Linked DNA regions of Oreochromis niloticus. The protein of the gene in region 2 interacts with the protein of the main gene of each other region in a pairwise test. Links are inferred from orthologs where the notes say so. Each region holds a gene or a part of one and is shown on either strand. Other genes may lie near its edges.

Region 1 (7,887 bases), on a different chromosome or scaffold from region 2:
TGGCCTAAAATCCATATATAACAATATATATCGCGATATATTCTTTTCTTCCGTATTTTCGCACTATAAAGGCGAACTTAAAATCCTTTAATTTTCTCAAAAATCGACAGTGCGCCTTATAATCCGGTGTGTCTTATGTATGAATTCTGGTTGTGCTTACTGACCTCAAACCTATTTTATGTGGAACACGGCGCTCAAAAATCTGTCAAAAATGTTTTAGTACGATTTTGGTAAGCTACGAAGCCGCACCGCTTGATGGATTTTCGGAGCATTACAGCTGCCGCAGTCAGGAGCCTGGCGGAGTAATCTGGGTCCAAAACTCCGTCTGCTTCAGGTCCCAAAGCCAAATGAACGCTGCGACATCACTGAGCATTAAAAACTGTCTAAATTCTTTCATCTTTAATAAAATGATCAGCGTTGCTTCTTTACCAGGTGTAACAATTAAGTTTAACATCCAGGCATCCATGAAAACCGAGCAGAGTTAGGAGTTAGGAAGGAAGGAAGCTCGCTAGTTTCCACCTAAACATGATATAGCATGTTCTGACAGAGAGGTTTCTGAAAAAATTCAAACGTACAGCTCTGCTATCACTTCCAACATAAGCGAAGACAGAAAACTAAACAGCAGTGACTTTTGTAGGGTTACTGAAGCATAATGATGTGCTACATGATCGCTAGCAACACAGCTATGTTAGCATAACATAAACAGTGAAGCTGGAGGATGAACGCCAACTTTTTTCCACTCGATAAAAGTTAACGTGAGGGTCTGACGGTTAGGGACAAATGCATGGCAGGATGCTGTAAATGGACCAAACTTCAGTCAGGACAACAACTGAGATAATCCATCCACAATACGAGGTTAGTTATTAGTATACTGCAACAACATGGGTATAGAGCAACTGCGAGAGAATTCAACATTAATGAATCAATGGTACGGAAGTGGAGGAAGGGCAGTTTTTGCCTTTCCTCATATTCCAAAACGTGCTTCATTTCTTCGCTATTACTGTCGCCCAATTTGCAGATGACATTGCTTGCAGCCGCTGCGATGCTTTCGACCAAAACAGGCGCAGCTTGATGAAACCATCAACATGCGCTATCGCTGCAGAGCGGTATAGTCAAAATCTCTACCGTTGGCCAAATTCATATCGTTTCTACCGTATACCGTTTATACCGCCCACCCCTACCCGATACCAAACTTTCCACTATTGCACAGCATTAATACAAACACAAAGCCAAGGATTTGCTGAGCTCGCAGCGCCTGAAGTTAAAGCGACGGTGTAGCTCACCTCACTGGTGGGTTTTTGTTCATGAACATCTCGATGGCCTTCTCATCTTCAGCGTCAACAACGATTTCTGTGTCGTACTCAACATCTGCAGGATCTGCTGCTCCCAGCGCCGGCCATTCTTCATCCGAGTCAGCATCCTGAGAGTCAGGCCCTAAAATAAGATTACAAGACGGAGATGGCTCATTAGAAGATCACACTGAAATGTTTTAGGTATAAATATTTTAGTTAAGTAAGGTTTCTTGATAAAGACAATCACAAGGAAAGATTTTACACTGTAACATGGATTCAACATGTGTTGCACTACTATGTATTTGTGTGAAAAACTCCTGGGTCATTTAACAATAGGAGGACAATTCAGGCTTTAAAAATATCTTATTATTTTATAATATAATATGTGTTTAAGAAAAAAATAAATATTAAATATGTCCAGATCAGGGATTAAAGATAAACTTTTTATGATATTTTAGTTTCTGTACGCATCTCTGCAGCCAATACTTCAGAACCCGAAAAAGTAGATTAAAAAATATTGTTTAATAAATTCTTGAGCATCTTTCACACTTGATAACAGATAACACTCAATTTTTATTCATTTAAGCAACTTTCAAAACCTACCAAATTTTCAATATGTACTTTTTTTTGGTAATTTCAGTATTCATATTTATATCTGTGCTCAAATAACACTATTCATGTAATAATTAAAGCAGTTACAAAGGCAGCAGATTAACAGATCAAACCCTTGTGAGCTAATAAAAACATTTATGACAATTTTATTAAAAATGATATGATCAGGGCTAAAAAAAAATTAGTAGTGTAACAGGGTTGCACATGATATAAGGGCTGAATGGATATATTACTTTTATTTATAGATTATGACATACCTGCTACAAATAAATATCCAGGACCAGAGAAATGCTATTTAATGATATTTTATGTTTTAAAGTGTGCTTGTGAGAGTGTATTTTATATGTATAGTAACAAGGCTGCAAGTCAGAGCTAGTATTAGTTTTTTCTCATGAAAAGATCTGTGCTGTGGAATGTTGTTGATTATGAAAGTTAAGGACAAATATAGGTATATAAACAAAAGAAGAAAACTTTTTAATTGATTTGTCTCCTTTTGATGACCAAAAGCGTAAGTAGAAAACATCAAACTACGTTGATTACAGCTACCTAATCTAGTCAGAAAACATTGAACAAATGCGATGTGTGTCAAAGCCAACTGACTTTTGATCTCCCCATGGTGTTAGCACTTCACTCGCCAGACTCCATTCAAATATCTGCCAATTTAAGGATAACTACAACACCAATCCAACATTACCGAGAACAGTGACTGGTGCTTTCTTCTTCTCTGGTGCCAGCCCATATTCGGTCTGAAGTTCCTCTTGTTGAATGCGGGCTTGTTGTAAGATTTTCCGTGACAACCGCTCGTCCACGTACTTGTCGTCGCTTTCTTCCCGGGTGTCTCTGATCTTAACCCGGCCTTTAGCTCGGACAATGTCCGCCTGCAGGATCTGGTCGGCCAGCGCCACCGGCGCGGCTCCGCTCTTCTCTCCTCCACCTTTGGACCGTTTGACTTTCGGCATCGCTGCGGTTTTACTTCAGCTGTGACCACAGTGTGGATGTTTCCGTGGACATGTGCGAGCTACAGGACAGACTTTACCAAACACTGTAAACAGTCACTGCTTCAACACGTGCGCAGGTCCGGCAAGAAGGAAGTGACGCATCGCACTCACGTAACATCCAGCTTTCGGCGACCACTTCAGAAAAAAAGTACAGCAAAGTCAGTTGACTGTTTCATTGTGAAATGGTGTTAATATTCACCATTCTTTATTATAAATAATATTTTATTTTATTTTTATTTTTTCTGTTGTTTTCTTTTACTGTACCGGAAGGCGTTTTGTTTAACCCGGAAGTGCTCAAACACCGTACTACAAGTGAAGAGAGGCAAAACATCAATGGGTGTTACTTGGTAAGGTGGTTTTTAAACCTACGTTTGATTTTAAACGTTTTTTAACCACTAAATATTCAAACAGATTTGGCCCAGCCTCAACCACCCTGCGTGTTTTTTTCTCATTGATCCGCGGAGGCGTGGCTCTGTCTCATTCAGCAATGCTGGTAACGTTACACGGAACAAAGTGTATGCTGGTCCCTCAAGTCCTCTGCTTGCTGTGCCCCTCAGTGTGTGCCAGGTGCCCGTGGCGGAGGGGAAGAGCGTGCAGCAGACTGTGGACATGCTGCACAAAAAGCTGGAGCAGCTGGGCGCCGTGAAGCAAGGCAGCTTCTGCGTGGACTGCGAGACTTACCATGCCACGGGAAATTCCAGCAGTAATATTTTTTTATCTGTTTGTTTCTGAGCTTTAGAATTCAGATTTATAGATCACATTAATGCAGACGTATTGCACTCACCCATCAGGTTGACCTGATGTCCCTGTCTAGGTGGGGCTGCAGAGTATTTTATCCCCTTTTCGTGTGATTGTTTGCAAAGAAAAAAAGATTGCCGGTATTTGAACTGTTTTAAATGACTTATTGGCCTATAATCTCTCAAACAGATCTCTCATGAACGATACTGAGTCATTTTGAGTCAGAAAGAACATTTCTATCACAAAGCAGAACTTGTTTTTTTGCAAAGTGATTTTCATATTTCCCTTATTTATCCAGCTAAAAGTGTCACTGACATAAAAAAAAAAAAGTCTAGAGAGATCTGGCAAAGAGGGCAAGAGAAATTGTGACAAATATAACATCAAAATTCTATAAAGGACTAGATAAGCACTAGATAGATAGTAAGGACTAGATTGACTATAATATAGGCACAATAAAGGCAGGATAACATATAACATATAACCCCCCCCCAGAAATGTCACTTTTTTTGTCACGCGAGCTGTGGCTCAGCTGGTAGAGAGCGTCATAGATCCCCATCTCCTCCAGTCTGCATCCTGAAGTATCCATGGGCAAGATGCCGAACCCTAAGTTGCCCCTGATGCATCCATCTGTGGGTGTGTGTGTTTGTGTGTTAGAAAACACTTAGGCATAGACAAAAACACTGTATGAATGTGAGTGTGAGACTTGTAGTAGGAAGTGCTTTGAGTACTCAGCTACATTAAAACGAGCTATATAAGTACTGGTGTACTGGTTCAATTTCCAGTTTGATTGGCTGTAGTTAGGCCAAAACAGTAAGGCAGTCACTTTTATTGGGAATTTATGCTTCTGATGTGCACCTCCTTAGAAATGTTACTACGAGTTCCATCGACATACGGTTACTGTCCTCTTCAGTACCGCTGATTCCTCCTGTGCGTCTTTGGCTACTTTTCCGCCACAGTTTTTGAATTTATCTGTGGGAGAATAACAATTATCATCAGTATAAGTAATAGTTATATATCTATATGGCCAGAAGTCTTTTTCCTTCCTCTTTTAGCTGTTTCCTTTAGATGTCACCACAGATCATCTGCCTCTATCTCACCCTTGCAGCTTCTTCTGTCACACCAACCATCTACATGTCCTCCATCACTACATGCATAAATCTCTTCTGAGGTCTTCCTCTTTTCCTCCTGCCTGGCAGCTCCTCTGTCTTTAACATCCTTTGCCCAATATATCTACTATCCCTCACTGTACACGTCAAAACCTCAGGTGCAAATCTCAGCCTTGCCTCTCTAACTTTGTGGAACTTTCATTTCCTTCCTCATCTCACCTGACAGTTTTAAGTGTTGTCTGTCCGTTGTAGGTCAGCCCTCCAAGCTCCTGTATGTGATGCACAACTCCGAAACCCCCCTGAGCTGCTTGGCTCTGTTTGAAGGTGGACCCTGCCTAATAGCGGATGCAAATTTTGATGTCCTCATGGTGAAGCTGAAAAGTCACTTCCAGAATGCCAAGGGACACAAGGTGGAGTCTCGTGGTTCGAGGTATCGCTACTGCGACTTCTTGATAAAAGTTGGTACCGTGACGATGAGCTCCAGTGCCAGAGGGATATCAGTAGAGGTGCGTGTGTGTATATATATATATATGCTGTGATAAAGACGAGTCACGTCCTTCTGCTTTCTCTCCGTGAGGCGCTAACTCCTGGCTTGCTTCCTCAGGTGGAGTACTGCCCTTGTGTCGTTCCTGGGGACTGCTGGAACCTCATGAAGGAGTTTATGCAGTCCTTTCTCGGCCCCAGCGTCCCTGAACTGCCATCTGTGTTTGCTGCCAAGCCCGAGGGACTCTTTGCACCAGCAGACTGTGTTGACACCATGACTCAGTACCTGGAGTTGTTCAACAAACTGCGCAAGCTGCAAATCCCTGGAAGCAATGTGCGCTGAGTTTGCAACAAAGATATCTGTTTTTTTTCTCTCCATGTTTGTACAGATGTTGGTATATTCCTGGTCCTATGGATCAGCGTTAGTACCCAGGCATTTTTTATTTTTTTGAACGTCTGGGGTTTTATTATCATTGCAGAACTTCACGTTAGCGTTGGATGAAAGCATTTGCAATAAAGAGACACAGTGAAAACAAGTAGTCAGAGTCTCTGAGCGTTCATACTGCGATGCCCTTTTGATGGTGCACTTTTATCTGAGAGTAGAGACACGAAGTATTCATTGATTTCTTGCTAGTTTACACAGGGATGAACCAATTTATCAGCTGAACGCTGGCCCTGTTGACTGTCAACTGATCTGATGACGTTTATCGGTGAGAGAGGTCGATTTTTATCTGTTGCATCATCTAAGTTTTGCGCTGGCTTAACGTTTAAAGATGATGTCACAAGGAGGTGAGAGATTTTTCTTTTCAAACAATCAAGTTTTCTTTGTTTTTCTCTGTCAGAAAGACAGGAATGAATGAACTAAACGTTGACTACAGGCCCAGGAATTTCACAGTCAGTCCAATCCCAAGGTTTATGCAGTTGGATTAGTGTTCCAGTATTAGGTGGAGGCTAACAAGTGAGGCTTGTCCTTACACGTGTAATGATTTTACAGTGGAAATGCTTTATTAGATTACAAAGAAGTATCTGTGCAGGTATCTTAGGGTGACAGTAAGTTAGATTGTTTATGTTGGATTGTTTAAAATGTCCAAAAGACTGGATCTAGCTTCTAAAACCTGAGAATTTAATTCTGTTTATAGATACTACATACTACATTATCTACAATAATCTGAAGATCTCACTTATGCTTGGCATCGAGTGGACTCTTATGTTAGAGCAGGAAAAAAAAGTAAAAAATGCAGAACAATGTCCTATTAAATTACCAGTAATTGGTAATTGTATTTAAAAAAAAATATATAATTCAAGTGTCCTACTAAATCACGATAATTACTATTGTTAATATGGTTATTTTTATCCATGCGTCTCCTAATCTCATGTGAAAAAATCCTGGATATCCAGCGTAACCACAACTGTAATTAAAGCTGATAAAACTGACATGACTTCTCTTTTAGGACTTGTGATATGTTATTCAGCTTTCAAACTCTCCCTGAATGCTGCACATTTCTTCCAGGCAGCGGCTTTCTTTTTATGTTTAAACTTGAATTACACTGATTTGCGCTGACGCATTTTGAAAGTAGTCCCTCCCCACGACAGCATCCAAAGGAGATGCGTCTCATAGGGCGCTTAAAGCTACACACACGCACACTACACGCGCGCGCCTCAGGTGTATTTTACCAGATTAACCCTACCGAGCTGACACATGGCGCGCACGGGGTTTAACGGGGACACCGGGGATCAGGGGTAGCGGCTGTCCTCTTAAACCCGGCTTCCACTCTGGCCTCCGTTATTGTTCCATGTGGCCGCTGTGGGTGGACGGACGGACGGTCCATCCTGCTGCCTGTTGTTCAGCCCTTCCGCCAATGAGAGCCCGTCTCCCGCTCAGCCCCAGTCCAATGAGAGCGGCGGGGTCTGTGCTCGGATCGAGAGTTGGGTTGTTCAATCTGTGAGGAGGACAACAAGCAGCTCTCTGAGTGTACACCGGATGGATGGATGCTGGCGATGGTAACGTTACCCAGCTTTACCATTATCAGGTGTTGCAAATATAGTGAGGGGCACGGATAGGGCCGAGAGCCGCGTTTCAGGAGCCGGCTTCCTGCGGTGAATGTCACCGGGTAGTTTTTTTTTTTTTTTAACGGTTAACGGCGCAGTTTGCTAGCGTTAACGTTAGCGACCGACGGCAGCCGTTAGGTTAACTTCGATTGTCCTCAACAAACAGGTTAGCAGCTTAGCTAACGTTAGCAACTGTGGCGAGCAGATAACGCAAATTGTTAGCTGCTTGGAGCCAAGCGAATAAATCCGTGTTTAACTCAGCGCGTTATTAGGCGAGACACAGCAGAGGGAAGGGAGGGAGGAGGTGGGGGGGCAAGCGGTGCAAACCCTACGCACAGCAGCCGTGGATAAAAACGGTTAGCGGCGGCAGCTAAGTTGCTGCCTGCTGGGCTGTCTCGGACCAACAAAGTTGTTGGATGTTCCTGGAGAGTCGCTCTCTGGCTGCTCTTTGTTCTGGCTTCAGCATGGTGATGGTGGGATAGCCTAGCATGGCGTTAAGAGCCAGCCTGTCTGAGCCAGAAGGCATCCTTTTTAAAACACGGACAGACACAGTGGAGAAATTCTAACATTTGTGAATATCACATGCAGGAGTTGAGGCGGTTAACTTGG
Region 2 (7,695 bases):
GTAATCAAAATGACATTAAATACCAAAAATGTTTTCTTAAAAAATCCAAAACTTGTTAGACTGTCAAGAGAGCTCAAAGAATGTGATTGTGTTACTTGCTGCACACAATTTGTCCCAGTACTTTTTTTAAAATCACCAGAACAAATATTAAAGCAATGGTCTTGTTAGCACATTTATTATGTTTTCTACTCAAACAAGTACAAATGTGGTGAAAAACAAGTGAGTAATGAAAATCAGAAACAAATCACAGAGAAATAGGAAATTTGAATACCCAGCTGCCACCTCAGCTCAACTTCGAATATACAGAAGAAATTAATGGACTGATGGATGAACATCTGACTAATGAGTCACTGCTTTGAAGATCAGGAATTAATTACTATTAATCAGCTATAAAGAGTGCTACTAAAGTGCAGGATAAACTTAAAGCAGTAGCATAGAGTAGAGAACTAGCTGATATTCACAGAGGGATTCTTGGGAGAGGAGACTTGAAAGCCTATCATTTTTTAATCAATGTAATTTTATGATTATTCCTATTAAACGTTCTATAACAAAAAGCTGATGAACCTGAGTGCTGAAACAATCAGATGACATAACGTGTTCATTATAGTGTTTCTGCGGCAGCAACTGACAGGGGTAGAGGAAAGTGAGTTTTTGATATGCACATAAGTTGCTACACCAGTGCTTTTTTGGATAAATTATTAAACATCAGCATATATATTGTGGTATTGAAGGTACTGGAAATAGTAAGTGTTTTGAGACAAATGACAGACTATATTCAGCTGTCTATCTAGTCAAACTGGCTGCGACTCCAGCAGCTTGGACTGCAGCTGGTGATAGTAGTCAGCCAGTTCATCATGCACAGACTGCTCCAGGTTCTAGTTGGAATGCTGCTCATTTGTGCAACAGAACAAGGACTGCTATATATCCACAACCTAAGACACTGAATGACATCAAGGAATCATCACAACAGTCTTAGTCAACATGGAAATATAATACAGGACGGCATTCTTTCAAAATGAAGGAGACAATGCTGACGCTGTAGTGGGCTAAGTGGACAATCCTATGTATATTCAAGTCAACCGAACTACATTATATTACTATTATAAACTCATCTGGACTGTTATTTATACCATCTCATGAAATTATATATTAGTTCTTGAAATTCTTACCTTATGCTACATATTGCAATATGTAAAAGCCACAGTTGTGGTCAGGGGCTTAAAAAACACTGTCTCATGTGCAACGCCCTTCTTAGGTAAACATGTCTGTCATCAGCGCCCCAAAGAGGTGTAAATACTTCTACTCTGCTGTAGATAATAATTGGCAAAAAAAAAAAGAAAAAAAGTATTCTATCTATCTATCTCATATATATATATATATATATATATATATGTATACACACACACACACATATATGTTCTTCAGCCAAACACACAAATACAACACCCTTCAACTTGAGAGAACAAATCATGAAATGACCATCTACCAAGCACAAAAAGAGGATGTCATTTGACGACAACAACAACAACAACAATAAGGCAAACTGTTATGCTTACATTGTCTGGAGAGTTTCTGTCTGGTGAAGGTGCATCAAGTTGGCTGGATCCCTTCACCTTTCTCTTCTTCTTGGCTGCTCCTCCTTTTTCTCCTCCTACACTAGCAGGGGAGCTCTTCTGTTGAAATTCCTTCAGCTGAGTAGGAAATGAGAGAAGAAACCCATAAACGTGTGCACATGAACAATGTCTACTAATATATATTTATTTGTCACGTCTTACACATATAGTACCAGGACTCTGCAACTGTCCCAAACTATAGATATTATTTCAAACAAATTACACTCAACATCTCGAGCGTCTTAACAAGCTGAATGAATGAGGTAATAAAATTCGAATTCAGTGCTCCAATTCCAAAACAATGCACCAGCTAGCAGAAAGATCCGGCTTCAAACGGATGAAGTTAGTAAGTTGTGCTAAACAATGATAACCTGCGTATGATATGCATATGACGGTTAAAGCATACCAGAACGCTCTAACAGCTGTCTAAGGGGAACTGCTGGGGCTTTTTTTTTTTTTAACAGTAAAGCTAAATAGCAGCAAAATGACATGTCACCACGACCACTCAGTCGTGAAGCTTGTGGGCCAGCAAAAAATGCTGGCGAGTCACTTCTTGAATCTGATAAGGCCATCTTTCTGACTAGCCGAAAAAGACACCAAGCCAAAGCACACAGCAGGACAGGGAAGAGGGGTGTCAGCTGTCAAAACACCCCCCGTCAGTCCATCCAGCTAACTGTGCTACAGGGGTAGCTTACAAGCTCAATGAGTGCTGTGTTTTAAAACTACCGTTTGTTAGACATTTTCTTATGAAATTAAATTCTGCAGATAACACAAAAAGCTGGCAGGCTGCTGTGCGACATTCCTTAGACACACACGTAGCCATATATTCATCAGCTAGTTAGCTAGCTTGCTAACGTTAACTTGCCTGGGTTAGCACGTTAGGCTTTAACTACATTTAAATGTCAGCTGGAAAGTCAAGTAAAGCGGCCAAGCAAGTGGTGCAAGTTAATCTGCGAGTACATAAACAGCGTGGGATAGTATGCGTGTCTCTACTAACTAAAAATAGTCTACATAATCTGGGAAAGTTAATGCTATCAGCAGAGGCCCCGATGAAACATCGGTCTCTCCTACGCAACAGAGCCGCGAGAGGAGCGGAGGAGGTCGGACAAGCGACAGTGCAGAACTCGGGCGACGTGTAATGACAACACCCTTGCCCCGTAAAAAATATACATAACGAAAAGACAAGAAAACAGAGTTAACACAGACTTGTGTACATAAAGTGGGAACTACACTTTTCGCGCTATGTAACTGCGTTACTTGTAAAATACTTTACCTTTTTCTTAGCTGCAGCGAGTTTTATTTGCCTACTCTGGTCGGCCATCCTGCTGCTCTGGTGGTCAACTGAGCGAACCACGTCATCAGCTTGGCGCTCATACGCGTCTAAGCCAGTAGGTGGCGCAGAGCTCAAGCTGTGCCCTCGACATAGCATAAAACATCTTTATACCGTCTATGGCCGTGAGCTTACAACCTCACATAAATTAGCCTGAACCATGTTTTCTTTCTTTTGTTATATGAAATATATAAAGTATTATTTTCGACAGAGTTTAGGAAAAAATGTATTAACACCTTTGCTATGTGGTTGTCGGCTGCTTTCATTGTCTGTAGTTGTTGCTACTTTACCTTTGTGTTTCTCTATAATTAAGATAAATATAGCCTATTATTTTGTAGGTTACATTTATTACACAGAAATGTACCGTACAGTACTGTCTTATTTTATGTTTTAAAAAATGACTTTTTTCACTTTCTTTTTGTAATATGTAAATTTACCACAGGTGTAATGAAGTGTAGTACTGTGGAAAAAATCTTGATCCTCCCTTACACAAAAGAAAATAAGGTATATAAGGGAAATTCTAACAATTCTGTACAAACAAGCTTGGAAGTCTCTTTGGAATGACCACCTTTATTCTTTCACACAGTCAGAACGCTCTGAGGCAGATTTCTTGTCATTCCTCTTCAAGTCATACTCTTCCTTCCTCTTCTTGTCATACTCTTCAAGAATAATTCTCCAGGCTCCTTAAGGGACATTCAAACATTTTATAAAAAAATATGAGAAAAAAAAAACTCTACAAAATGTCAATCTATTAATTCATATTAATAGAAAGCATATCAGAAAGGGGTTTCCATACAACAAACACAAGGCGAAACCAATGCTAGTAGTCCTTACATTGTAATAACCTGTATGAAGGCCTTACTGATCACTTCCTCCTTGATTTAGCAACATGGCTCCTCCTAGTGTTAACTATGATATCCAACTCTTTTTACTAGATTTAAAAGTCCAAGTAAAAAGTTCAATTGTATACAAAGAAAATGACACATTAAACCCAGAATTTTCCATCAGGTTTGTTTCACTGCCCTGTGTGGTTTTAGTCTTAATGAGTCATCATTGTCTTTCAAGTTTACAGGTTAGTTTTGCTTTTGTTTGTAACACAAAGAAAGCAGATATAAATGACACAAATAGTAAACTGCCTGACAGTAACATTAGAAGGACCTTATAAACAATATAAACGCATCTTTTAGATTTTCTTGAATAAAATATAAGGAATTCTACTAACAGGAACTGGAGGCTTCTCCGTAACAATATGCTTTTCAATTCATCAGCATTAGCTTTAAAATGAGGGTATCCTTTGAATAGAATAATAAAATTTTCTGTAGAAATCCCTGCAAAGTCTGAAAAGGGCTTCAAAATAAAATAATAATAAAATACTTTGCATTACTTTAAGACAATAAAGAAAAAGATGAAACACTGAAATCTGATGTTCACTTGTTATTCTCCCATAAAACGTAATCAGAATTGGAGGCCACTAAGTAAGAGGTTTCCAAATCTAGACATAGAAATGTTTATGGTTTTTATGGGAAACTATGTAAATAAATAAATAAAAGAAATAGACAAAACTTAACTGCTACACTGATATTTTATAATTTTATGACTTTTCTATATTCTTCCTGACAGTACAACCGGTTTAGTTCAGGAACCTTCTGGAAATATATCAGTGTTAATAGAAGAATTCAGATAAATCACAGTAGGAGAAAGCAGATCAGTTCAATTCTATCCATGTAATGATTTTGGATTTTAGAAAATTCTTGCAATTAGTTAGTGTTTTTAAAATACCCATATCATAGCCTTGTACTTTGGCTGGTATATATTGGCACATTTGCCAAGGATCATATCTTGACAATGGCAGTCAGCTACCTTGACTTTTTAAGCAAATATTTGTCTTGTTGATTGAACTGAAACCCAACTGAATGTGCCAGTTTATGTTACCTTCTTATGTGTGCAAAAGATTTCAACCAAACTGAAATCAGTGTGATCACATGTATCTGTAGTCTTTAGCTAAGACTTGTACATTCACTGAGGAAACACCCAGACAACCCAGTTCACCTGGTACAAGATTTCCTGTCAGATTCATCACAATCACACAAAGGATTTGGATTTTCATACTCATAGCAGTTAGTCATTACGTCTCACAATTGCATCACTATCTCCTCGTAATGACACGCCTTAAAACCGCAAAATTAAGATTACAAATCAAACACTTGGTGGGCCATTGCAAAAAAAAATTATTGCAGCAAAAATCTGTAAATGTATGAAATGCGAGAAATGCATCCACCTCTCCCCCGGCATTGAGAGTGGCATGTCGCTGCACCAACTGTGTTCAGGATTGCCCTTGACAGACAGCCAATCAGCGTCGGCGCAGTGGACACATACGGTGACGTCTCTTCAACCTGATGTGTGCAAATCAGCGGCGGCCAGCGTGCTGAATGAAACCAATCAGCGTGTTCCAACGAGCAACAGCTCAGCCAATCGCGAGCCTCCACGACGGGAAAGAAGTGACGGCTTATATATGGAGAGACCACATTTCGTACAGCATCATTCTACACAAGTAAGGATTTGAAAGAGACAAAAGATATACAGGTTGCTCCAAGCGTCTTTTACCGGTAGAGGAAACTCAAAGGCCGTTAATTCATTGGTTGAACTTCTGTTAAGGTATGTATAAACGTTAATATGAATATGATAATGAAGCATCGCGGTATTTTCCATTTTCTGCAAAATGTTTTATTAAGGTAAAACCGGTTAAGGTCAATATTGACCAATAAACCAGCTGAAATGTAACTACACTACTGTCGTCTGAATGAACTGTACAGACTCTGTAACCTAAATATAATAAACAGGATGTAGTTTGGAATGTTCTAGCATGGTGGTTTCCCCCTGCATGTCTGCTAGGCATGGTAGCGTAGTTAGCAAGATACCGGCGAATTGGCGGGGGGGTGGTGGTGGTCATGACGGTGATTGACTGGTGATCCAACTTATTTTATCGATAATTCATATTTTCCTGTTATATTTATTCGCCAAGACCAACTTTTAGTCTGCCATGGGTCTGCAAGCTCAGCAAGTGACATTACGCAGTACCGTTAGTTTCTGGCTAGCGCACTTGGGAGGCTGAACCCATCTAATGTGTTACATTGTATTTCTTTTCTGCAGATCCGCTTGTAGATATAAGTACAAACAAAGATGAAGCTGTTCTGGGTTGTGATGCTGGTGGTCGGCACAGTGTTTGCCGCCGACGATGAAGACAAGAAGGACAACGTGGGGACTGTGGTTGGGATTGATCTGGGGACCACATACTCATGGTAATCACGTCAAGCTCTTATAGTGACATGATACCACCATGGAATAAAATGGCATTCAGACTAAATTCAAACTGTTTTCTTGCAGTGTTGGAGTGTTCAAGAATGGACGCGTGGAGATTATTGCCAATGACCAGGGAAACCGAATCACCCCCTCCTATGTGGCCTTCACCAGTGAAGGTGAGCGTCTGATTGGTGATGCTGCCAAGAATCAGCTGACCTCTAACCCTGAGAACACCATCTTTGATGCCAAGAGGCTCATTGGTCGCACTTGGGGTGATCCTTCTGTGCAGCAGGACATCAAGTACCTGCCCTTCAAGGTGAGCTTCTAAACTGAAAGTAAAACTTGTAGTAGTTGATTCTTTGGGTCATGTTTGAGTGAAATTCTTGTTAAATTAATATTGGTGTGTATTCCTATGAAGGTTACTGAGAAGAAGAGCAAGCCCCATATCCAGGTTGACATTGGTGGTGGCCAGATGAAGACCTTTGCTCCTGAGGAGGTCTCTGCTATGGTGCTAACTAAGATGAAGGAGACTGCTGAGGCTTACCTGGGCAAGAAGGTACAAAAAGTCAGAGATTGTAAATCAGTGAAAAAGCTAATCTTAATTAAATGGTGTATCATCAAATCTAACTTTATCCTTTTTCCTCAGGTCACACATGCTGTGGTCACTGTCCCCGCCTACTTTAATGATGCCCAGCGCCAGGCCACTAAGGATGCTGGTACCATTGCTGGTCTGAATGTTATGCGAATCATCAATGAGCCGTAAGCATCCAGTCAAAATGAATTTGATCATCTGCAATTTGAAACTGTCAAAAAAATATCTCTGCCCTCCCTTCTAACAATAAACTCTCATTGTATTCTTTAGAACTGCTGCTGCTATTGCTTATGGCCTGGACAAGAAGGACGGAGAGAAGAACATTCTTGTGTTCGATCTGGGCGGTGGCACCTTTGATGTCTCTCTTCTGACCATTGACAACGGTGTGTTCGAAGTGGTGGCCACCAACGGTGACACTCATCTGGGAGGTGAGGACTTTGACCAGCGTGTCATGGAGCACTTCATCAAGCTGTACAAGAAGAAGACTGGCAAAGATGTGCGCAAAGACAACCGTGCTGTGCAGAAGCTGCGTCGTGAGGTCGAGAAGGCCAAGAGGGCGCTGTCTGCCCAGCACCAAGCCCGCATTGAGATCGAGTCTTTCTTTGAGGGAGAGGACTTCTCTGAGACCCTGACTCGTGCCAAGTTTGAGGAACTGAACATGGTAAGATATTAATTTGGTTCTGAAAATATTGCGTATTAAACCCAATTGGAGAAATGGTTGACCAAGGTTTTTTAACCTGTGTGTTCTTCAAAACCCAGGACCTGTTCCGTTCCACCATGAAGCCTGTACAGAAGGTGCTGGAAGATTCTGACTTGAAGAAGTCTGACATTGATGAGATTGTCCTGGTTGGAGGCTCCAC
Region 3 (7,551 bases), on a different chromosome or scaffold from region 2:
ACAACCTAAAGTATCTGGGTCTGCTTTTTGTATCTGTTACAGCAGTCTGGTTAATATAACGTGCTAAAAATAAGATGAGGCCAGAACATCTGAGATAATGAGTAACAATGTTGTTACAGCTTATTCAGGCCAACTCTCAATTTTGAAATCTAAAATGAATTAATAATTAATTTTAGATTTTGGAGACTGGAGTGCTGCATTCAATTTCACAAGGAACTGTAGATAAAAGGAGAAAATCAGCACAAGAACACAAATAATACGGAGAATAAATCCACCCCACCAAGTAATACACCCAAGTTTTAAACTCCTTATTTGTGCGATTACTTAATTACAAAGTGTTACATTCTTTCATAACAAGGAAAGAAGAGAGCAGAAAAAGCTCCACACACAGGAATATGTAAAAGTGTATACAATTCGCACACGCAGCATGTTGTGAGATTTCGAGCTCACAGATGGTGTTAAAAATGTACACAGCTTGTTGGCATATTTCAGTGTGTGCACTTCTTCTCTGCAGCATCTGGTTAAGGCTGGCTGTGCAGCAGCTCTCTTATCACAGCGTTCAGTTGTTGACATAAAACGTTGGATCACAGCATTGAGTCTTGTACTCACAAGAGCGTACGCTATAAACCAGCTTTGAATTATACCCGAGTTTGTACCAGCGTAGAGCTTGACAACTGTGTTAGCTGACAGCTATGAGACTCTTTGGGTTTGTTCACACCTATAGTTTGTTTTCTCTGGTATAGTTGGTGAGTTTGTAAACTTGGAGTTCTTCCCTATGATTTGGTATCTTTTCACAAAGAGAAAAAAAAACAAAACACATCAGGATGTTCAGTCCGCTCACTGGACAGATGTGTAAATATAGAAAGAAGGTGCTGTGTTCTAGACTATTGGAGAATACGTAAAATTTACTTTCATTTCACGGATAGCTGCTAGCCCATACAGACCTTTGCACAACTCTAGTACTTTGCTGCATCCCTGACTACACAGCATACGTACCTACAGGAAGTTTTTTTTTAAAATCTCAAACTTGTAACCTGGTAGTTTGTTTGGGTCGACTACCAGGAACATATTCACATCATAAATAAACTATTCTTGAGTTCATTTAGAACTGCACCAAGACAACCTCTTCCAAAGGGTCTATGTGCGGCTGTTTTGGTCTGTGCCCGAGTGCAATAACTCGGTTCACATCTGCACAAACAAACTTCACCAAGGGATAAAATGAACCAGTTTGATTTAAAAGGACCGAACACCGTAAAGATTGAAGTGAGTGCTCATTACCTTTGATATCTCTGTGAATCTTCCTTTCAGAGTGCAGATACTCCAGCCCCTTTAGTATTTCCCTCAGTATAGTAGCAATGTAAGTTTCTTCAAGAGGCCCTGGACGCAGCTAGGATGGTGACAGTGCGACAAAAGGATGAGTTTTCCTTCTCGAGTATGAAAAGTGCACTATTGGAGGAGTTGTCTAAAACTTTGTAAGCTGCATAAAAATAGAAATCTACTTACTAGATCCAGAGCAGATCCTCCACCTAAATACTCCATGATAATCCACAGCTTTGTTCCCTATGGCAGGAGGAAACAATTGAAGGAACAAACCACTGCATGTGTTTGCATCTTTAATCATCTCTGCAAGTGTCACTTCAGTATTTACATTATCTCACCTTCAGATATGAGCCATAATACTTTGTAACGTAAGGACTGTCGCACTGGCTCAGCACCGTGATCTCCTGCTGAATGTCTTCTATCTCATCCTCTGCCTCCTCCAGGTCTATAATTTTAATGGCCACCACCTCCTTTGTGCGGTTGTTGATGCCTTTGTAGACCTCTCCAAACGAACCCTTGCCGATCCGCTCCTGCTTGGTGAAGTACTCCTCAGGGTCCAACCGAGTATTCTGGCCCAGTGAGAGCAAAAGGATTTAAGTACAGAGTATATACCACGGTGATAGCCCCCCGTAGTTTAATGTGTGTGTTTATGAGTGGGCGAGTCTCAACACAGAAGAGATGTTCACAGTTGTCCCTTATCTCCATATTATAGTGTTTGCATGCACTGCCCAAATATAAAATATGATTTATAATTAACCTTCTTATCTATGCCAGTGCCCATCTATTCAGTCACATCCCTTTATAATTACCTAGACTCTAGATCGAGCTTTGTGCCAGGATGTAATTTAAGAAGTGTGACTCCTGAAAGTTCAGTGGTTTTGTCTTTCCATAACAGCAGGAAATGAGCAATGATTTGCGAACAAAGACGCCTTCAAAGAAGTCACTAAGTTTAAAAAATATTGAGTATCTTAGTAATTAAGACTCAACTCTAAAAGCCCAACTCTGAAAAAATAAAATGTTATTACACACTCATACAAGATCAGAGATTATTATTACATATTTGTCATTTGTTGATGGCTTTGTCAGTTGTACACCTGACTGCGCCACCGGCAAGAACATTATATATACATAAATTCACATCTGTGGATACTAACACTTGCTTTTATGGCCTAGCCCACCACCCAGGTTATTCATGGAAAGCCTGAGAAGCATCGGGGGTTCGGCTTGTCTTGGATAAGAAGCAGGGAGGTGACAGTTGGAGAAAAGATCATTTCTCTACCTGGTTCTGCATGTCTCGAAGGTGTGCCATCCCCTCGGCTGGTTGGACGGGAGAGGGACGGCCACAGTCCTGTCTTCCAATAGTCAATAAATTGTCCTTTCGGGTTTTTCCTCCCCTCGTAGCTGTCTAGGAAGCTAGCTAGGCTGGCTAGCCAACTAGATAAACACCCAGTCTCCTGGCTTTAACGGGGCTGTCACTCCGCGCACTGTTTTCGGCCTCCGGGTAAAACGGAGGACTGAGCAGCCGAGCTACTGACCGAGAGACTCCATGAGTATCGGTGGTCCGAAACAGAGGGGAAAAATAGCTCTTTCCGTGAATTAATAATTAATTCATTTCAAGAAGCGCTTAGCCCGTTGTTCAATTGAAGCTTGAGGAGGACAAAATAATGGCCCAGATCGAGAACGCATGCGCGAAGTTTTTTTTTTAATTCGTTGAATTGTGGGAGTTGTATTTCTACATGCTTTAGAGACATGTTTCTTCAAACCTTTCAAGTTTTTCCTGTACTGAAAATGGTACACGGAAAAAATAAAATAAAATAAAACTACATTCACAATTTTAAATGACAAAAACACGTGATCTCGTTGAAAACAGTTCTAACAGATCTAACTATATATACATCACTACCATCACATAATACCATACATGCTGCCAGACAGCATTAGAACACCACTGAGGATTCATTACATACAAAAATAGAAAATGAACAAGTTCAATTCAATTTAAAGCTGAAATAAGTTTAAATTACATTTTGTGGAAATGATTGTGTGTGTTTTCTCCGTATGATTGATAGAAGAGGAACTGGGAATTCAAATTAAGGCAAATCAAATTAAGCAGATGCAGACAACTGGTGGTTGGATTTACCCAAAGTGTTATGTGGGAGTAAATCTTAGTGTTTGTCTCTGTGATGAAGCTATAATAGTATAAATTTGAGCACAGTGGATAGTGTGGACAAAGAGGATGTCAACACACATATTAACAAGACATTCAAACATCTTTTGAGTGTTTACATTTTATTTTGCTTTTATTTATTAATCAAAACTTTGTGCACAAGCTGTCATACATAGACATTATACCTAAAGACGTCATCCACAAACTGCTGATATCTACAATACAAAAGGTCCAGCTTCATTAAAATGCAATTTTCCTTTCCATCAGACTTTAAACCTGCACACGAAGTAAACCATCTAGCTACCAAAACACCCCAGCAACGACTGGCCGGTTGGTGCATTTTAACCCAGACACTGAAGCAATGTCCCGCATCTTAATCGGCCCTAGTGTGCCCCACACAAACAGATTTTTTTACCCCCCCACACTTTGTTGGGATGTGGTCAGCCTTCTTTTTTCCCGTGACGTTGGCTACTTTCATTTGAAAAACATCTTATTTTTGCAGTTCAGACAAATTAACTTCTGTCACTATAAAAATAAAATACACTACAACCAACTTACGTAAATAAAGCTCGTTAATCTGCTAATTTAAAGTGTCCATTGCGTTTCACCAACTCTTGCGGCTGGCGGTGCACTTCATAGTAACCGCCCCGGCGGTCACGCGGGGTAGTATTAACAGCTACACCCACACTAGCTAGAAGCGTAGAGAGCTTTCGCTGAGTCCGTCTCGGTGGGTGGTTTGTGGAGTCCCTGATGTTGTTTGTATGACAGCACGAACAGCGTGTTGGCGCATGTCAGTTTAAACCCTGGTGGTAAAACCATAACGGTGAGTATTGACAGGACAGACCTCTGGTTTACCAGCATGTTAGTGCAGACAGTCAGCGGCTTACAGCGCACTGTTTAATTAGCTAAAAGGGATAGCATCGTCTGTTAAACGATTGTCAAGCATAGCGACAAGCTAGATAGCTAACATACAAGCTAGACATGGCGTCTTGCGTGGATTTTCACTCAGTGACATTGAAGCGGCTTGCCAGCAACAGCTTCACCTCATGTCGCTGTTATGTAACATGAAATGCTATTTCTTGTACTGTACTCATTAGCTTGAACCTAAACTCACTACCTTACACTGGAGCAGATGCCTTTTGCACGGGCTAATGATCGTGTTTAAAGTTTAGGTAGCACCATTTGCTACTGAGCTAATTGGCTAAATTCAGGGTTAACTGCAGCATGTGTTTTACTGTAAATTGGCATGTCATAAAAAATCAGCCAAGATATGAAAAATGTCTTATTTAAAACGGGGCATTAAGTTGAGCTTATATTTCTGAACTCTTAGAGACAGTCACACTCACACCCTCACTTTGTTTGGTTAATATCTGTATGTGAGTTTCATTTGTTTCCCATTTTGTGGGTTATCAGCTGGATGAGTGGGGCAACTTTCACTACCCCCTCTGTAGAGGTGGCTGAGATGAATCGCATCCATTTTGAGCTGGAGTATACAGAGGGCATCAGCCAGCGCATGCGAATCCCAGAGACCCTCAAAGTGGCCCCAGAGAGCCAAACAGGGTCCATGCCACTTCAGCAGCCCTTGCCCACTCATACAGCTCTGATGCAGGTTCCTGAGAGGATCGTCGTTGCAGGTGAGGATGACAGTTGGCAGTCATGTTTCAGGTATTATGTTTAAATCATGTATATCAAGTATTTGGTGAGGAAAAAAAAAGTAGTACATTAAGGGAAACAACTGTTAACAGCTGAAAGTGGAAACCATGACATATGGGCCCATATGCTGTATAAAAATTTCATGACCCCTTTTTTTCTGTAGGTGATGACGAGGATCCTCGATTTGCATGTCCAAGAGACTTGGATCTGATTCAGTCCATCCCTCCTGCGGACCTCCTGAACATGAAGGCCCCTCCACGTGTCCTCACCCTTACCGAGCAGCCTCTGGACTCTCTTGAAACCGACCAAACTGTCAACTCACAGCGCAATCCCAGCCAAGCGGTATGGTTTCTTTCAGAGTAATTTCAACTTCCTTCTCAGAATATTGAATTTTCTTCTTTCATTATATTCAAAACTTTAAGTGGATCCATAGTGTGGTGGTATACTACATTTGCCTTATCCTGAAATTATGGTTCAGCAGTGTTAGTGCATTGGGAGTATGCTGGCACTCCGTTGGCCTGTCTACTTGCAGAGAGTGTCTGTTGTCGATAGAGGCACTGTACAAAGTATGTGGTACAACCGGTCTGTGGGGTACTTTTGCTTGTGCTGTTACTGGTATGTCAGCCAGCTGCAGAGTAGAGTGAAGTTATAATCTACAAAGAGCTGAAGTGAGTGTTAAACAATGTAACATATTCACTGCACCCACTGTCTGTACTTCTCATGAGCTATCTTTTGATCTGTGATTTTTTTTTTTTTTTTTTTTTTTTTCCCCTCTTACTATCCTCCCATTCCTGGTGAACTCCATTGCCACTCCCTTGCCTGTTCTGGCCCACTTGTCAGTCAATCAGCATTTGAGTAATGCAGTGGGGATTTTGGAAGATTGCACACATGTTTGTACATTGTTTCTAGGGTAGGGATGTTCCTGGCAACTAATTTCTCAGTTGAATAAACAAGGGAAAAAAATTAGACTAACTGACTCATATAAAACTAAGAAACACTCAGATATCAAGTTATATTTTAGAACTGTTTAAGGTCTATAACTCTCTAAACAAAAGAATTTTAAATCATAAATCATATTCTTGATTTATGAATAACGGTGCTGAATTGTACGGGCATTGTGCATTGTCAACATTGCATGTTACACACCAGACAATGAAGAAGGAAAAACACTTAAACTGATGTTAAATATAGTATATAAATGTGTTACTACAAAAGCAAGTTCACATATTATTAAATGTGACAAGTTAACAACAGAAAAACCAAGGAGTTGAACTGAAAAATGTGGTGCATTTTGTCGAGCATTATGAATGATGCACGCTGTTCAAAAATTCATGACAACCACTTCAGTAAAAGTTAAAATCTAAAATAACAAAACAACAAATAATCCAGCCATTTTCTTTTCCCCCGCTTATCTGAAGTAGGGTTGCGAGGCCAGCAGCCGAAGCAGGGAAGCCTAAACCTCCCTCTCTCCTCCAGTTTATCCAGGGAAACGTCCAGTTGTTCTCAGGTCAGGTGATTAAATATAGTCTGTACAGCAGGTCCTGGTTCTGCCCAGTGGCCTCCTCCCAGTAGGACATGACCAACAGAGCACCTTACCCAGGAGGCATCATCCTCAGCTGGATCCTTTTGATGTGAAGGAGCAGTGGCTCTACTCTGAGCCCCTCCCAAATGACTGAACTCCTCACTCTATTGCTAAGGAAGTGCCCACTGACCTTTTGGAGAGGGCACATTTCCACCGCTTGTATCTTTTGCCTTTAAAAGAACAGTAACAGTGTAAACAAAGAGATCAGGCCATGATGAACAGATTTACGGCTTTTCTCAACAATGATGCTCCCTCTGGTGGCAGGTGGCTGCATAGCAATTTACCGGCATTTGGCTTCAATCAAAATTTAAAACAATTTAGATTATACTACTAGTACGTCTGATAATGATTTGTGATAATAGTGAGGATTAGTTGTTTAGTCAAAGAGTCCCGCAAATCCCAACTTTAGAGAAATGCTAAATGCAAAAAGGACACGATTGCAGTACCATAAATTACCCCGTTTGAACCTGTGAGTAGACAACAGAGTCTCAAGGGTTTAGGCACCAGGATAAATCAGATACGCAGACCTACCTGCTGTGGCAACTCCTTATGAATAAGTGAGCAGCAACTAGTATACACAGCATTATTTTTACTTTATTAGGATTACCATTTCAGATATTCCTTGATGGTGGTCTTAAAGGTGTTGCTTTTTTTATCCCAACATATTGATCCTTTCTTACAAAAGCTGCCTGGAGTTGTGGGATTTATGAGACGCAATGAAAACTGAACATGATTATTTATGTTTTTAATTTTAAGAAGTCTCTTTGTGCAATGCTGCACATCTTCCCATTCTGATCTCTCTGTGGAGTATGGTTTGTGGTTCTTAACA
Region 4 (7,343 bases), on a different chromosome or scaffold from region 2:
AAAAAAAAAAAAGTGTTTTAGAAAACCAGAAGTGGGGACAACTATTTTTGGTCCTCTTTTGGGGGGTTGATAATGATGGCAGAAGGCTGTCTAACATGTACAGAAATTTCCCATAGACATTCAGTTAACTTGATATCTTGTGAGGGTGAACGCCATAAGATAATTCATAACGGTTTCGGCTCTGTGTGCAAGGACATTTCCCTCTCCTATTAGGTTAGAAATGTTTCACACCAAACAACTTCGTATTGATTTGCGGTGCTTTCCCTCTAAGAAGACAAGGAGAGCCAAAGAATGCCAGCAACATAAATCCCCAAAGCAAAACAGAGGCAGTGGAACACTGAAGTGTCAAGAGTTACAGCTTTCCTTTTAATTTCTCACTTATTCACCAAGCAGAACTGAGCAGAAGCAACCATAATAACAAGGTCCTCTTTGCACGCGTGTTCACTAAAATTACAAGTCTATACAAATTTTAATAGTTTCAGAAAAATTTTCTTACTTTTAGATATTAATTTACTAAAAAACATGTCAAGCAGTTTATGAGACAGGGGAGATCAAACTTTTGTTTGTATACCCACTTTATGGTATTAAGATTAGACAACAAGTAATTAAGTTAAAATAATCTCTTAAGATTATGCAGATATCTGATATCTGCATAAAGACTGAGAATGTGTACACAAACGTAAAAGTCTTGCTTCCACACTAAAGGTCAGGAAAGATATTCATATATATTGCCTGCAAAAGACAGTCTGAAAGATATGCAAATTCACAAAAGTATTTCGGTGTACACACACACTGCCCTGATCAATTGCCAAAGCTCAGTATCTCAAAGCTCAGGACTGGACAATAATGATTAATTCTGATATAACAAATGTATTAATAGTGAAATTTTGGCTATTAGAGTAAACTAATCTAAGCAAAATATATTAAATATCCCATCAATGAAATAAACTCACCTTTATACATCTGAATTCCTTCTTCCAAGGGAAGAGCAGGAGGTTGGTGCAGATGGTTTCCAGGGTATGGAAGGCTCTCTCGAGGCCCTTCAGGTTGACTCCTCTCTGGGAGCGGAGGGAGTTCTCCACTACCTCATAGAAACGCACCATGCGAAATCGCTGTGCCGGATCTGGCTGATAGGCTCCTAGCAGAGCTGTGGCTGTGGAAAGTAGGGCCTCACTGTCCTTGTGTCTGCTTCTTTCCCCTTCTTGCGTACTTCCAGTCCCCCTGTTATCCCCTCCTTCCTCCAGGCGCTTCTCCAGTGCTGTCACATACCTCCGGAACAGGTCCTCTTTTAACTTGGCATCCATTATTAGCAGCAGACTATTAGTCAGCTGTTATAATTTTCTGAGAGAGCCTCACACCTTTTAGCATGCCCAACCACAAAATGCCACATTCAGACACCATTTTTGGTTACCATTCTTTAAACCGTATACACTAAATGTTAATGTCGTGGAGAGATGACAGAGGAGTCAATCTTTGCATCCACTCAGTAGCACATCCTCTAAGCAAGAGATGCAGTTTTCTAGTGCTTTCAGTTGGTGTAGCAAGGCTGTAGCCCATAAGGATGCCTTGGTATGAGCATCTCTGGCTTTGGCTCAAAGCCTGACTTGTTTCCAGAAAAACAGGCCTCTGTCATGCAAGATAACGTCAGGGGGGAGGTTTTCCTTGGCACACAGACTTGCATCTATTCCATTGCTTGGTTTTAGCATTGGTAGAGTTCAAGGTCACTCATCAAGAAGACAGATTCATGATCTTGGGGTTGTTATCAGCCATGTCCAAGCTGAAATGACACAAGCAATAGCTGTTAAGATAAAAAATATCATTTTCGGTTTCTAGCTAAATGAAAATGCAATTTAACTGTGGTTAAGCATGTTTTGAAATATCTAGAGGTTCAGATAAGAGGGAAGATACACTAATCCAGGACCATCTCTGTACTCAGAGATGTGAAGATGGATTCGTTTGGGTGGGTGGGTTTTTTGTCTATCACATAGTGAAAGGGCTTTTTTTTTTAAAAAATTGTTTGTTTTACAATGTACATAACCAAGAAAAAGGCCAGTGGAATTATAGCTTAAATAAGCAAGAGAGGAACTCATTACTGATGTATACATCCCTCTCACACGTTTGCGCCAGTGAACGTTTCAGCTATTGGTACTACATGCGTGTAAACCAGAGTGGCGCTAACCTAGCCTAGCTTAGCTTCAACTCAAAACTCATAAACACATCGTGAAAATAGTACGAGGCTTGAACAACAGGAGAGCAAACATTTCGCTCTCAGATTCTTGCAAGCTGGCTGGCTGGCTATACCTGTTACCTGAAAATCTCTGCGAACATCCGCTCAACGAGCTAGCAACCAATGAGCCTTAGCCAGACGCATGCTTTACAACTGCGTATCTACTACAACAAATTTAGTCCACCGTGACCAATGGCAATATAAAGTAATACTCCTAGAACGTATACATTAATTCTTCATGACTCTCAAACCCGATGCTGCCACTGCTATGGCCTCCCTACTGAGTAGAAGCTAAACAGTGAACGCCCATTTCAGCGTAGCTGGCTAGCTAACAATTGCTTTTGGTTAGCAGGGCGTTCCATCGCTACACAGACATTATTCGCCAGTTTAAAATAAAATAACAAGACACAGCGAATTTTTAAGGTGATGTTCTTTTGGGATCAAATGTTAATGGGCTCCCACTAGGAGATCAAGACGTTTGTTCAAACAAAAATAACAGCATTCGCAAATCTTACCTTTAACAAGTGCTAGTCATGGCTAGCTACGCCTCCTCAGCTGTTGGAAATTCCCAGTATAACAACACGCATGCGCTCAATCCTGACAGTTCATCAGCATCAGGAGCCCACGTGCTAGGGAAGACGGGATACAGACCCCCAAATACATCATCCCCAGTCTTCATTCATTTTTGTTTTTGTTTTGCATGGGTAAAAAAATATATATATACATATAGGCTCGCGTGCGCGCAGAGACAGATTTCCCGGGTTCATAATGATTTGCCGAAGGTATACATTTAGTGGTGTGGATTTCCTGCTTTTTCGTTGTATTAGTGCCCGAATAATTCAGATTTATTTGAATAACTATATATTGTAATATTTTGAATGTCTCTGGGGGGTTTCGATATCTAGTGGGAGGGGGGGGTGTCACAGATTTAGTAAGTATGTCGTACAATTATGTGTTACGATGTTTACTTTCGCCGGTGACCCCGCCCCCTCGCGCTTAAAAAAGAACAAGAACCCGATGACGTCGTCACGGGGACGGTTGGTGCTGGTGGTGGAACCGACTCAGTGAAGAAAAGAAATGGCGATGCTCGGAGGCTTTAGCGCAGCACCTCACAAGAAGAACGCCTCGGACGGGAGCAACGACGTGTCCGAATTCGTCTGTCCAGTTTGCCTCGAAATATTCGACAGTCCCGTGACAACACAGTGTGGACATACGTGAGTATTTTTGCCGTTTATTTTCCATCGCCCTCCCCCTAACCCTCGTCTGCCACCAACGATGCAGTGAAAAGAGGCAAAAACAATGGAGGAAAGGGCTTCACTTTAAATATGTCGTCGCACCAGAGTTGCAAAATATCGGCCTCGCGAGTGTCTTCTAGTGCTACGACCCCGTTTTTTCTATTTTTCTCTCTCGAATATGTGACAAAAACAGTTCCAGCTTGCTAAATCAGTTTCAGTTTTGTTTACATCAAAAAGGAGGCCTCACTTGGGAGTTGTAGTTTGGATGTGTATTGCTCTAACTCTTCAAACCACTTTAAAGAACTACAAGTCCCTGGCTATTCTCGAGGTGGGGGACTTTCCATATGAGTTACAGGAAGGTCCAGTCACTAGCATAATAAAGGTTTGTTTTAGTGACAGCATTTGGGGTTTTTTTCTCATTGCAGGCCATGCGTTAATGTAAACAGAGTTGCTGCATGTTTTTGTCTTGTTTTTTAATAATTTTTTTTTTAAAGCCTCAGGTTACCAGAGCCCAAATTAAAAGTGACAATTTAGTTGATTTATCTTGTGCAGCAGTCACATTATTTCACCCATCTCTTGACAGGTTTTGCCACAGTTGTTTGCAGGAATGTCTGCGTCCACAGAAACCTGTGTGTGCTGTATGTCGAGGCGCTCCAGGCCACTGGACTAGAGCTGCTCAACTCGAGGCACTCATTCAATCTTCTGTGGCAGCCTGTAAGGGATGTGGCACACAGGTATGTTTCACTAAAGTCCAAAAGCTAAAATATTGCTGAACTGACTCACATTTATGAAGCAGTCACAGAGGGTGAATATTCAATAACTGCACATGCATAATCTTAATATTTTGCTGTGTCTAAATTTCTGTCTTTATATTTAGATAATAGCAACAATTTTATGATGATGGTCATATACTGGAAGTTACTGATATGTGTCACTCCTCCCCCAATTAGGTTGGGCTTTCTAAGATGAGAAGCCACACAGCTGCCTGTTCAAAATACCAGGAGTACATTGAGGAGGGAGTCAGGACAACTGCCCAGAGCCAGCCTGCCATCGTCAGGTGGGGAAAGAAGCAGAACAATTATTTGCTATTCCCTACATAAGAAAAGCAAAATGGTTTACACTGTAGAGTCAGACTTTGCGTGCAATCACTGCTGCTTGTTGGGTTGTATAAATTAAAGGTCACCTTTGGACTAACACCAATCCAAAGTGAAAAAGGAAATGAGTGCAGCCCTGTCAGTAGAGTCAGTGAGAGGGCTTCATTCACAGAGCAGAGAGTACTGTACATAGGAAATGGAGTTCTGTTGGCCCAATCAAATGTATGCAATGATAGATTTATGATAGATTTCACTGTAACTTAAGTGCCAAATTTAAACAGTTGACCTGTTGTGACAAATGATGGAATAATATCTTCTTGTGATATAAAATTCCCTGTTTATAGTATTATAAACTCTTGGCAGTACATTGTTGTTTGATAAGACTCCAAAGTCGTGGCTCCATTACTGCCTTGTTTCACTGACATGCCTAACATGTCAGTCAAAAATGAAATGCTCTGTTTTTGCGGTCAATCTGTCATGTGAACTATATGTAGTGTATACATTTTACACTTAAAGTTAAAAAAAGTAAATGGAAGTTTTAGCACAAATAGGATTTCAAATTAAACACAATCTGATTGCAAGTAAAATAGTATTATAAAGTGTGATCAAGCTTATGCTAAGTATTCTGTATTTTACCTGTTGTAATTTCCAATCATGATTTTTCCAGAGTGTATAGAAAACAGTACAACTTTTATCTTTAGAAAACATAAAACACTGTTATTGTCAAGTTGTATGAAGTGGATCTGGTTTTTATCATATTTGGATGTTAAGTATTTATGACAGCTGTACTTCCTGGAGAAAGTTCCGAGAAGATGGTTTGAGAAGCCGTCGCTTGTAATGAGGTTATTATGACTAATCAGGAAGTAGTCTTTAGTGGGGGGTTTTTGTTTTGTTTTTTTCCACCCAAACAGCAGCCTTTAAAACAAAGAATCCACACATTGTGGCATGTTGGGCCAACACTGTTTAAAGTAAGAAACCGATCCTGGTATTTATTTATTTTGTTATTTAACCCTCCAGATGTTTGTGCCAGGAAACGGATTCCTGTTATAAAAAAGAAAAAAGAATAACTGTCACTTTTAAGCCTTTCTCAAGCTCTTTCAGCTGGTGAAAAGTTGATGTGACAAAAGATAAAGATTGGCCACTAACTGTGGTAAATTATTTCTTCATAAGCTGATGCCTGTTGCACTTCAAGTGCAATATTCATGTAGTTGAGAACCAAACCTTGTGACATTTTATTGTTTCTCTTCTGCCACAGTTCAGTGCCAAATCGCTACACCTTCACCTGCCCCTACTGTAACTGCCAGAACCTCGACCAGGACGGCCTGGTTGAACATTGCACTTCCCAACATGCTCGAGATGCACGCCAAGTGGTAAAAAAAAAAAGTCTACTCTGTCATAATTCTGAGTCATACTGAGTTTCCACACACTTACTGGCTTCAGCTGGGTTAATAATGTGTTTCAAAGATCGTTTTATTACCTTCATGTTTTCTTTAGGTGTGCCCCATCTGTGCCTCGATGCCTTGGGGGGATCCTAATTACAGGAGTGCTGACTTTTTCCAGCACCTGAAGATCAGACACACTTTCTCCTATGATACATTTGTTGTAAGTAAAGCACTCTCTGTTTATTTGTTTGTTTGTTTTTTATGTTAATAAGAATTTAAGTGACTTTTTTTTTCTTCCACTTCTCATGCTTACGACCTCCCAGGATTATTCCACAGATGAGCACACAATGATTCAGGAGGCTTTACAGCGCTCCCTTATGGACCACTGAAGTGTGAAAAACAATTCACCGGTGGAGGGAATCCAGTGAAATGAAGGGATGATGGTCTTGAAAAGACAGAAACACACAGTGTCATCATTCATCTAGAATGGGGATGGTGGTACTGACTTACTATGGGTAATTATTTTTCATAGGGAACTGGTATCGTAACTATGAATATATAGGTTTATTATTCTGAAAATAAATCACGCAATATGGTTACAAAAAAAAAAACATATTGTACTGTTTGATTTAGGAGTAATACTGTGTTTCTGGTGTGATAATCACTTATCTTCCCCTCCCCCCAGCTGAGTCTGTAGACTGGATAGTTTGTTAGGTATCTGCTAAACTATGTTTAAGCTGTTTGTTTATCAATGACAAAGTGTCATCTAGCAACAAAACATCCGAACCTGTGATTTAAAAATTCTGCATTGTCAATACTTGATGTTATGAGAGGGTCTAACCACTAGGTGGCTACCTATTGCCAGCAGACAACAAACTTCACTCTGTGAAGTCTACAAGTAACAGAAACATATTATACTAATTCTACTCGCATGTTTATGCAAAAGGTTAAAAGGTAAAGGGACTTTTATTTCTTTTCTTTTTTTTTTTTTTTTCTTTTTTGACCACAGTTTTTCAGCAGATGGGGGAAAAAAACTGTCTTTTCAGTGCTGTTTTTGATTGAAGCGCGTGTGTTTGTGTATTAGAGTGTGGCTGGGTGTGTTCATTCTGTTTTGACAGATCTACTGGTAAGAATAAACAATGAGGGTCAAACACAGCCAGAGATGGCATTTTTGCTTTTTTGTGATGTTTCTCCCTTATGTCTTTGTGCCTGCTGGTAGATCTTGTTTTCAAACTTCCAGAACTCATAGGGCTAATACAGTAGTTCATTCAGTGAATCTACAGATGCAAGTATTTTAAAAAAAAAAAAAAAAAAAAAAGTCAGTGTGTTTGGGTTAATTTGGTCACTTTCATGTGAGAATTTATTTGCATGTGTCTAAACCACAAGAGGGCAGTAGAGTTCTACA

The links.
Region 1: the proteins of golga2 (region 2) and bysl interact in binary tests that used the Homo sapiens proteins (3 or more experiments, as listed by UniProt). The two-hybrid records come from large-scale screens. The link is inferred for Oreochromis niloticus from reciprocal best matches to the Homo sapiens genes GOLGA2 and BYSL.
Region 3: the proteins of golga2 (region 2) and stk25b interact in binary tests that used the Homo sapiens proteins (3 or more experiments, as listed by UniProt). The link is inferred for Oreochromis niloticus from reciprocal best matches to the Homo sapiens genes GOLGA2 and STK25.
Region 4: the proteins of golga2 (region 2) and spata2 interact in binary tests that used the Homo sapiens proteins (3 or more experiments, as listed by UniProt). The two-hybrid records come from large-scale screens. The link is inferred for Oreochromis niloticus from reciprocal best matches to the Homo sapiens genes GOLGA2 and SPATA2.

What each region holds. Positions count from the first base shown.
Region 1 is NC_031970.2:21,836,235-21,844,121, forward strand, and holds the start of bysl (bystin), read right to left. Parts: upstream 3,011-7,887; 5' UTR 2,864-3,010; coding exon 2,599-2,863; intron 1,435-2,598; coding exon 1,284-1,434; intron 1-1,283. Other genes in the region: med20 (mediator of RNA polymerase II transcription subunit 20), read left to right, coding at 3,236-3,249, 3,460-3,605, 4,999-5,252, 5,351-5,572. UniProt on the Homo sapiens protein: Required for processing of 20S pre-rRNA precursor and biogenesis of 40S ribosomal subunits. May be required for trophinin-dependent regulation of cell adhesion during implantation of human embryos.
Region 2 is NC_031972.2:20,385,523-20,393,217, reverse strand, and holds the start of golga2 (golgin subfamily A member 2), read right to left. Parts: upstream 3,018-7,695; 5' UTR 2,935-3,017; coding exon 2,887-2,934; intron 1,692-2,886; coding exon 1,557-1,691; intron 1-1,556. Other genes in the region: endoplasmic reticulum chaperone BiP, read left to right, coding at 6,124-6,242, 6,328-6,559, 6,662-6,799, 6,890-7,002, 7,106-7,496, 7,595-7,695. UniProt on the Homo sapiens protein: Peripheral membrane component of the cis-Golgi stack that acts as a membrane skeleton that maintains the structure of the Golgi apparatus, and as a vesicle thether that facilitates vesicle fusion to the Golgi membrane.
Region 3 is NC_031982.2:10,567,726-10,575,276, reverse strand, and holds the start of stk25b (serine/threonine-protein kinase 25), read right to left. Parts: upstream 3,008-7,551; 5' UTR 2,630-3,007; coding exon 2,600-2,629; intron 1,890-2,599; coding exon 1,659-1,889; intron 1,561-1,658; coding exon 1,504-1,560; intron 1,388-1,503; coding exon 1,279-1,387; intron 1-1,278. Other genes in the region: mitochondrial fission factor homolog A, read left to right, coding at 4,905-5,121, 5,304-5,482. UniProt on the Homo sapiens protein: Oxidant stress-activated serine/threonine kinase that may play a role in the response to environmental stress.
Region 4 is NC_031984.2:16,329,024-16,336,366, forward strand, and holds the start of spata2 (spermatogenesis-associated protein 2), read right to left. Parts: upstream 3,007-7,343; 5' UTR 2,743-3,006; intron 2,615-2,742; exon of another isoform or gene 2,309-2,614; intron 1,778-2,308; 5' UTR 1,305-1,777; coding exon 954-1,304; intron 1-953. Other genes in the region: E3 ubiquitin-protein ligase RNF114, read left to right, coding at 3,305-3,441, 4,046-4,196, 4,413-4,519, 5,812-5,926, 6,051-6,158, 6,262-6,327.